Linked DNA regions of Saccharomyces cerevisiae S288C. The gene in region 3 interacts genetically with the main gene of each other region. Each region holds a gene or a part of one and is shown on either strand. Other genes may lie near its edges. The genes, in order: PIC2, COX20 and COA6.

What was found.
Region 1: mutations in COA6 (region 3) and PIC2 impair growth when combined (synthetic growth defect), as found in Saccharomyces cerevisiae (one study listed by BioGRID).
Region 2: of COA6 (region 3) and COX20, extra expression of one rescues a mutant of the other (dosage rescue), as found in Saccharomyces cerevisiae (one study listed by BioGRID).

The regions. Positions count from the first base shown.
Region 1 is NC_001137.3:258,219-261,664, forward strand, and holds PIC2 (Cu/Pi carrier), read right to left. Parts: upstream 1,422-3,446; coding exon 519-1,421; downstream 1-518. Other genes in the region: YER053C-A (uncharacterized protein), read right to left, coding at 2,715-2,828.
Region 2 is NC_001136.10:925,701-928,920, forward strand, and holds COX20 (Cox20p), read right to left. Parts: upstream 1,211-3,220; coding exon 593-1,210; downstream 1-592. Other genes in the region: IVY1 (Ivy1p), read left to right, coding at 1-446; HEM1 (5-aminolevulinate synthase), read left to right, coding at 1,752-3,220. UniProt on the Saccharomyces cerevisiae protein: Involved in the assembly of the cytochrome oxidase complex. Required for the maturation and subsequent assembly of the mitochondrially encoded COX2, the precursor of subunit 2 of cytochrome oxidase.
Region 3 is NC_001145.3:757,964-760,813, reverse strand, and holds COA6 (Coa6p), read left to right. Parts: upstream 1-1,982; coding exon 1,983-2,297; downstream 2,298-2,850. Other genes in the region: long-chain fatty acid-CoA ligase FAA4, read right to left, coding at 1-1,007; YMR244W (uncharacterized protein), read right to left, coding at 2,497-2,850. UniProt on the Saccharomyces cerevisiae protein: Involved in the maturation of the mitochondrial respiratory chain complex IV subunit MT-CO2/COX2. Thereby, may regulate early steps of complex IV assembly.

The DNA.
Region 1 (3,446 bases), on a different chromosome or scaffold from region 3:
AAAAAGAAAGAAAAGGTGAGTCATGGGCCTGAAAAATACACGTGGTTAGAGCCACAGTAGAGTAAAAAGTTGATATTAGGGGAGTTCTAGAAAGAAAAGGATCCTGTGAGACCAATGACAGTGATTGTAAATTGTGGGAGTGATATTTGATGTTACTATCAAATAAGGCCTCAGCCTCTGAATATGTTCACCTAAAAATTGTAGAAGATTCAATCGCGAGCGGCTGGCAAGTTTGGGCATGCATCGAGTATTGCCGTATATCGAAACTACCTTATAAATGTGTTTCTGATATGGCACTTTCAAAGTTTTCCTGGGCCTGTTCTTGGCTTGAGAAATTTGGCAATCATAACAAAACTCTTAGTATGAAAAGAAATTGTAGGACGAATATTTATTAAGACATATGCAAAGAAGAACAAACTATAAATGCCGGTCATTTACTAACTTTATGAAATCCTGTGTATACAATATTCCTCTAGCACAGAGTGTTTACGATAAACCTTGCCGATTGAATCGATCAGCTAACCGGTGGTTGGTAAGCCTACATAAGCCTTGAACGAATCGTAAATTAGCCATTGGAAACTTGTCAAAGTACCGATCATGACAATTCTCACCATTAACCCATTCCACAACCCAGTAAAGCCAATTTTTTGATATATTCTTTTAGAGGCTACAGACATGGACTCGTTGGCCTTTCTTTCGCTATTGATCTTGGAAACCATAACGTCTGCAGGATGTGAGACTGCAGCACATAATATACCTGCCAGATAACCACCTACAAAACTGACTGATATTTGCTGTAATGCGTTCATTTCTTCTTTCTTTTTAGGTAAAACACTGTATATTTTTTGAACAATTTTTTCGAATGAGGTAAACTTACACATTGTGTAAGGAATCTGTCTGCACCATAGGGGAACAATACCTTTATAAAATGCTTTCATACCTCCACTTTCTGCATACATTTTTTTCCATCCATCAACAACGTTATTGCAAAAGGGCGGCATAGTAGTCTGCTGTTTCACTTTAATAGCTTCAAATGGGCACAACATGATATCAGCGAGGAATTCAGCGGTCGCTGAGGCCATCAAGTACACAGTGACACCAGGACTTAACCAACTAGAATACAAATGCTTGAAATACTCATAACCACCATACTTACCTGCACCTTGTAGCGAATATCCGACGAATGTAGCACCAAACCCAGTGTATACTTTCTTCCAGCCTTCATTAGCTATAATCTTACGGAACCCTTGTAAGTTTGAAGTATACAACTTGGGATTGACCTGTAGCCTACATTTGACAAGATCTAGTGGAGTGATCGAAGAATGTGTTGGACCGCACGCAATTATACCACCTAAGGTACATGTGGCATAAAACTCTTTCGTATATAATTGGATTTTACGTGGTTGTTTATTGGACTCCATGCTTTACAACTGTCAATGAGTCCGTTCTCTTTTTCCCTTACTTTATTTTTTTAGAATTAAAACAATAACAGAACACTTTCAGTTAACAATGTGTCATTGACTGCCTGGAAAAAAAAATAAAATATCTATAAAACACAAGCAAAATGAAAGTATATTTGGTAGGTCCCGCTGTATTTATATCAAATGTAACAGGGTATGCAGAAAATCGATATATCCATTTTCCTTTTTATTAAGCAAAATGAAACTAAAAACAAGGAATAAACCTAAAAAAGATCTCCTTATTTCGCTAATACCCCTGAAGTCCAACTTTTGGTTAGCCGAGATCTTAGCCGAATGAGATTGTGAAATGCAACCCAAAGTGACCGTTGTTGCTAGCTAGCATATGAATGAATCTAAGAACTGGAAAGGCAAGTTAAGGGCCAAAAATAATGACTTGAATATTTTGCAGTATCTACGTTGAATTAAAGTATTCTTCGTAAGCGGTACTTTTCACTTGCTACTTGTCACCTTATTACCTATGTGCTGAGAGGGTAATGGTACGATGTTCCTTTTTGACACAATGCGTCTTTTCCCTATGCTGTAACAAAAAAAACAAAGGCCGAGGTTCGGATTTCTTAGCAGATCACGTGCTGACTTTTTGGAATACACCGTTAAAATTCTCACACGGTTAGTATTTACATTTTTTCAAGAATAGGGTTTTGCCGCTTACCTTGATATGCGGGCGATTTTGCGGGATTTCTGACATCTAATAACTTAGTAGTCATTGAAGGAACAAAGTTTTAGTCTTATTCGGATGTTTCCCTTCTTATTTTCGAAATGAAGCTTTTTGGAGAGATGGGGATAGGTGGCTTTTTGTGCCTTCCTCGAATGTCTAGCCGAGTCTTGCGATGGAAGGGCTAGACAGCATGTTTTAGAGATGTAGTAAGTTATATTATAATCATATTATAATTGCCTAAATATAGACGTATATCATATACAATAGCAAAAATACATAATTACGAACATAAAAATGAAAATAACTTTGGTCAAACAGCGTGAGCTGTCAAACGTATAAATCTTAAAAAACGTGTATTAAGTATGAGCTAAGAAGGCGCTCATCAATAGAAAACCGGATTAAAAACATCGAAAATTATTGAAAAAATATTAAGTGTAGTGTGGAAATGAATGAGTAGAAAAAAGATAAATTAGAAAACAGAACATCAACTTCGTAAATAGTAAAACGCTAAGCCAGACTAGGTAGAACTGACTTTGCATACCTCTCTTGGCGGCAGTAAGCAGATTAGCTGATTTAAATCACTGCAAGTAAGGAACATCGCTCTTGTTTCTGTTCATGACTGTTCTATGAGCACCAAAGTAGAAAACGAAAATGAAAGCGAAAATACTCAAAAAAATCTCTAAATCTTGCATTGTAGTGTGTACTGTGTAGTAAAGCTATTGTTTGTTTTTATTATTTCTATGTAGAATTCTGTAAAAGGACGAAAAGAATGTTTCCAAGCAGTATGTCTACCTCTGTCGTTGTAGAAGGGATTCCTACTTCTTTATATACAAAATGCACATCGGTAGAAATATCTAATTCTCTATTTAATTGAATGCATAAGGGGTACCAAAAAATCTCTCTTCACGTCTTATAGCTGAACAGTTATCGGATATAGGCTACCACATAAAAGAACAGGGATGTCCTAATACAGCAATCATTTTTTTTTTCATTACGTAAAAAGTAAAGTAAACCATCCATTCTCCCTTCTTTCAGTCAAATGCCGCAGTCCCTTACATTTCAAACTGAAGCGTCGGGATGAGACTGTAGAAAGAAGTAGGAGTAGTATGCAAAAAAAAAAAAAAAAAAAAAATATAACCTCTGCCGGAAGTGAAGGCACAAAAATAGCTCTCTCTAAATGGGCGGTGGAAGGGTGTTCAAAAGTAAAGAAATATAGGCGCACTTCTGAAGTCATCGTAGGTGAATAAGCAAGTCTTTATCGGCATGTTCGGGGTTTTTTTTACCAATGACGATTTCTGTCACTTAACTTT
Region 2 (3,220 bases), on a different chromosome or scaffold from region 3:
ATGCAGACGACCCCTTCAGCAAAAAAGCAGATGGGCCATACGGGACCATCGGTGGTGATGGAGAGACTGCTGGAGAAGCATACAACAGCGATGAGGAAACGGGTGGGAATGACGTGGTGCTCAATGAACTACTAGAAGGAACCAGCCAACCTTCCACATCAAAAACATCTTTACCCAAATCCAAGGGGTCCTCAACGGTATCCACACCGAATCATTCACAGTCAAGTTCAAACAAGGACGGGGTACGAAACAATGGCGGCGGCAAAAATGGCGAAGATGAGGATACAGACAATTTGATGGGAACAGAAAATTCATTTTCTTTACCGCCTACGAGAAACTCTGCCGAGGAAACCACACAAACGTTTAAACAATTGTCCATTAAAGAAGATAATGACAATCACAGCAGCGATACGGACGGCATGCAAGACCAGTCAAGTAATATATAAAATTTGTAACTCTATGTATGCTTTTTATATAGAAATGGAGAAAGTGAACAATTGAAGTTATAGTATTTTCGGAGAAATGTTGCATATATACATAGGAAAACGGTTAAAAGGCCCTGCTTCTACCTTCTGTTTCCCCCTCGTTCTTTTCACCAGAACTTGTACCATTTCTTCTCAGAGGAGGCCTGAGATAAATTCTGGTTACTTTGTTCAAACTGACTCTGCTTTTCATTTTTGGCGGCCTCCCATTGCCCCGGCAGAGATGGGTCATGAGGGACATTATGGAGCATTGGTTTTTCCTTTTTCGCCACGGTTTCCTTTGCCAATTGTGCGATCTGGAAACTTTTTTGTCTCTTTAGCCTACATTGCTCCCATCCGACAATCGAGCCCAGTATCAGAGAGCTCATCGCCCAATTCGTGGCCTTAGTCGGGCTCTTATGGTATATAAATATAATAGATCCCATCAAGAACATGCTGGAAAACCCGAGCATGCCCGCGTCTCTGAAGCACGGGATTGAAGTCAGCTTCTGCAAACTAAAATCACTCCATCTGATCGAGTCCCAAGCCTCTTTCAAAGTAGCCCGTTCTTGCTTCTTGGCCAACTGAGAATTGGACAAGTCATCGGCAAACTTGGGTGGAGTGTCTTCTAAGAGGATCTTTTGACCCCGCGAGTAATTTGTCAGCACGCGATCACCATCTGCTTTACCCTGCGGTTGTTGCTGCTGCTTTTGATCTTCTGTCTGATTTGACCACGGCCACCAACGCATCTTTATATTAACTGTTGAGCTGCTCGTTACGCACTGCTGTGGACTTCACTACAATGCTTTACCGAGCAGTGGAGTTTGATATAGTGGTGGTACCCCCGACGGTGCTATAATAAGCTTGCCTGCACGGCTTACCCTACCGCTCGGAAAGGCCGCCTTCGTCGCTCATTGGTCTGCGGCCGCGGGCGCTTTTTGGTCATTGTTCATATATGAAGAAAGAGCAGGAACGGAAATTTTTCATCTTGCCTTGCCCATTGTTCTGATCCATGCGTTGTTAGAAATACAACGTTTGCATCATACCAAACTTCTCCATTCCGTCAGCTGATACTCTATTCGGTTGTGTGTTGCACCCTGCTCTGCTGTCTCTCAACCGTTCTTCCTTTACACGCCTTCCCTTCTCAGCTCGCGTTTCTTTTTTTTTTATCCCACTCTTTTCTTTTTTCTTTCCTATATATTGCCCATATAAGTTTGGTTGGAAGGAAAACTAATAGAGCTAGTTGTTGTCCCTCAATAATCATAACAGTACTTAGGTTTTTTTTTCAGTATGCAACGCTCCATTTTTGCGAGGTTCGGTAACTCCTCTGCCGCTGTTTCCACACTGAATAGGCTGTCCACGACAGCCGCACCACATGCGAAAAATGGCTATGCCACCGCTACTGGTGCTGGTGCCGCTGCTGCCACTGCCACAGCGTCATCAACACATGCAGCAGCAGCAGCAGCCGCTGCTGCCAACCATTCCACCCAGGAGTCGGGTTTCGATTACGAAGGCCTGATAGATTCCGAACTGCAGAAGAAAAGACTTGACAAATCGTACAGATATTTCAACAATATCAACCGATTGGCCAAGGAGTTCCCCCTAGCTCATCGCCAGAGAGAGGCGGACAAGGTCACCGTTTGGTGTTCCAACGACTATTTAGCACTTTCCAAGCACCCTGAGGTATTGGACGCCATGCATAAAACTATCGACAAGTATGGTTGTGGTGCCGGTGGTACAAGAAACATTGCTGGCCATAACATCCCCACTTTGAATCTGGAAGCCGAATTGGCCACTTTACACAAGAAGGAAGGTGCCTTAGTTTTTTCGTCATGTTACGTAGCCAACGATGCCGTCTTATCCCTACTGGGTCAAAAGATGAAGGACTTGGTGATTTTCTCCGACGAACTCAACCATGCGTCCATGATTGTCGGTATTAAGCATGCTAACGTAAAAAAACACATTTTCAAACATAATGACTTGAACGAATTGGAACAACTGCTCCAGTCATACCCCAAATCCGTTCCTAAACTAATTGCTTTCGAATCAGTATATTCTATGGCCGGTTCAGTGGCCGACATAGAAAAAATTTGCGACTTGGCCGACAAATACGGTGCTTTGACCTTCTTGGATGAAGTACATGCGGTCGGCCTGTACGGCCCTCACGGTGCAGGTGTTGCAGAACATTGTGATTTTGAAAGTCACCGTGCAAGTGGTATTGCTACCCCAAAGACCAATGACAAGGGCGGCGCGAAGACTGTGATGGACCGTGTCGACATGATCACCGGCACTTTAGGTAAGTCTTTCGGTAGCGTAGGTGGCTACGTCGCAGCCTCTAGGAAATTGATCGATTGGTTCAGATCGTTTGCACCTGGTTTCATTTTCACCACGACTTTACCACCTTCAGTTATGGCAGGCGCTACCGCAGCAATTAGATACCAACGTTGCCACATCGACCTAAGAACCTCGCAACAGAAACATACCATGTACGTAAAGAAAGCTTTCCATGAGTTGGGCATTCCAGTTATTCCAAATCCTTCTCATATCGTCCCAGTGTTGATTGGTAATGCTGATTTGGCTAAGCAAGCTTCTGACATCTTAATCAATAAGCATCAAATCTACGTACAAGCTATCAACTTCCCTACGGTTGCTCGCGGTACCGAAAGATTGAGAATTACCCCAACGCCAGGTCACACCAACGATTTATCTGACATCTTAATCAATGCAGTTGATGATGTGTTCAATGAGCTACAGTTACC
Region 3 (2,850 bases):
GCGTACCCTAGGATACCATTCCAGTAGAACGCTTCGAATTCAAAGGTTAATTCAAAAATATGAGCCAATGGCAAGAATGCGATAATACGGTCTGTTGGGCCAATCCATCCGATAACGTTATGGCCCACACCACCAATACCAGCTACAATGTTGTAATGTGTCAATACCACACCCTTTGGTGTACCAGTGGAACCAGAAGTGTACATGATACAAGCTGGATCTTCAGGCTTGGGGAAATGCAATTCAACCTCGTCCTTGGCCTTTTTACCTATCTCAATAATTTCATCGAAACTGTAGATTTTTATGTCCGGTCTAACTTCCTTGATTTTGTCAACAGCATCCTTGGCAGCCTTGTAAAGCTTACCATTTTGTCTTTTGTCACTTGGATCGATGGGTTCGTTGTGAATGACGAATTTTACGTTCTTGGCGGTTTTCAAAGGAACTGCTAATTTGGACAACAGCTGGTTGTCCGTGAAAATGGCGACGGAATCTGTTTCCACCATGGAGTGAATCAAACCGCTCTCACCCAAAGTGTCGTACGCGGTGACCACAGGAATACCTTGTGACATGCAACCAAGAAAAGTTTTCATCCACTTGTGAGAAGTAGAGGCAAAGATGTGGAACTTGTTCTCACCGTTAGGTTTAACACCAATCTTTATCAGCCCACGTCCAATGTCGTGCATTACGCAGATCATCTCCTCGTATGTCATGGTTATGTAGGGAGTCAGTTCGTAGTACAACCATGTTTTTTCGATGGGCTTATCCTTACCATCCACCCTCTTGACTATGGTTTTTTTCGTCTCATGTATATCTATAATATCTCTCCATGCCATACCGTCTCTCTTACCACCCTTGGTAAAACATTCCAGGGCGAATTCGTACAGTGTAGATGCTGAGGAGTTTATGGGTCTAATCAAAGGCTGGTCTTTAACCCTGATATTTCTTCTTGGAGCGGTTTCATGCTCATTGGCGGCTTCGCCAACTGCAACGGAATATTGTTCGGTCATTTTGATGCGTACTTCTTAGTTTTTCAAGAAATAGTGAAGAACAGAGAAAAAAATGATGTGTTACTAATGCTGGTTCTTTTGTATTCTCGCTTTTATGTCAACTCAGAGGGGTTGCAAACAAAAGAAAGAATGATCAGTTATTGTCTATCTGTTGAGCCTTATCTGAAAGAGGTAGAACAAAAGATGGGCTGTTTTTGTTGGGGTAAAGCGGCGCCGCGAATGTTCTTAATGAGGTGAAAAGAATGCAGAAGAGAAAGATGAGGGCTAAGAGTAGAAAGAACGAGATGAACGAAGGCCGAGAAACACCCAGAATAGAAAAATAGATCGCCGACAATCGAGGGTTCTTAATTGATGGGGACATCGTTGGAGCTTATATAAGTTTGCCGCTACTTGGCGAAGATGGTTGAGCTGGGCGGTTCGGTTTGCGCTTTTGTCTTTCTTGTTACTAAGTATGATTGTTTTTTGTTGGGAAACGGCAAAGACGCGCAGCCAAAAAGCCGAACAGTTTAGTGAGTCTCTTCTTTAAGCGCCCAACACGCTCCATCGTGTTGGATAAAGCGTATGCAACAATTATTTCGGCATCGAACCCGCGGAATAAGCATCGGCTCGGGAGATATTTTTGTTTAGTTGGTATTGTTATCGTGTATAAATTTCTGTCCCTGTGCATTGTGATGTAAATGGCCTATTGTATTGTCAGGTCCCTGTCCGTTCCTTGATGGTATATTGGCACCTGAGCAAATCCAACAAAACCGGGCTCGCCCGCGCGGAAGAAAGTGCGATTGACGATTGTAGCTGAGCTGAACAAAAGAGACGGACATGTGAAACGGTGCTGCGGTGGTAGGTGCTGCTTTGTAGAATGGGGGAGAAGATTCGCCTACATACATACATACATACATACATAGACGGGTACTATTGTAGCGCTGCGCAGGAACATAGATACACGAATATACAGAAAGGAATAGTAGTAATATAGCGATGGGCTTATTTTCATTTGATGGTGGCAAAAAGGAATCACAACCCCCTAATACCCGTTCACAGAGAAAGTTGTGCTGGGAGTCCAGGGACGCATTCTTCCAGTGTTTGGACAAGGCAGACATCTTGGACGCAATGGACCCCAAGAATAGCAAGAGTATAAAGTCGCACTGCAAGGTGGAAAATGAAAAATTTGAGGAGAATTGCGCCCATAGCTGGATCAAGTACTTCAAGGAGAAGAGGGTCATCGACTTTAAGAGAGAGCAGACCATCAAGAGAATCGAGCAGGAAGCTAAACAGAGGGAACGAAATCAGTGAGTTTTTAGTGAGTTATTGGCTCATATTAACATATATATTCCCATAAAACATTTGACAGAAAGGTAATAATTAAAGGATAGTCATGTAGATACAAACGAAAATTTTATGTTTTTTTCTTCGTTTTGCGAAAATTCGCATGAGTGTCTCTGTATATATATATAACAAAAAGATGAAAAAAGGGAAGGTAGAAAAAACCGCGCTAAGTTTTGGCAGTGACGGTGACTGTCTTGTACTTGGTCTCGGTGACCGTTGTGGTAATAACGTCTAGCGGATTCAGTTCTCTCTTGCCTTTAGAAGATGAGCCGCTACCAACATCAAAAACTTCGATGTTGGCCTTGGCGCCGTTTCTGGCGGTGACAACACAAAAGTTTCCACCACCAGCCCCGGAAGAACCACCGCCAGAACTTGTCACTTCGTTGACTCCATTAGAACTTGGGTCAATGGAGCATGGTAGGCCTTCACATTGTGATTCGTCATCACAAGTAATTCTAATACCGAATGAAGGCTTAACGTTCTTGAACGGACATGACGATTCCAGGTAGACGGGGTTCCA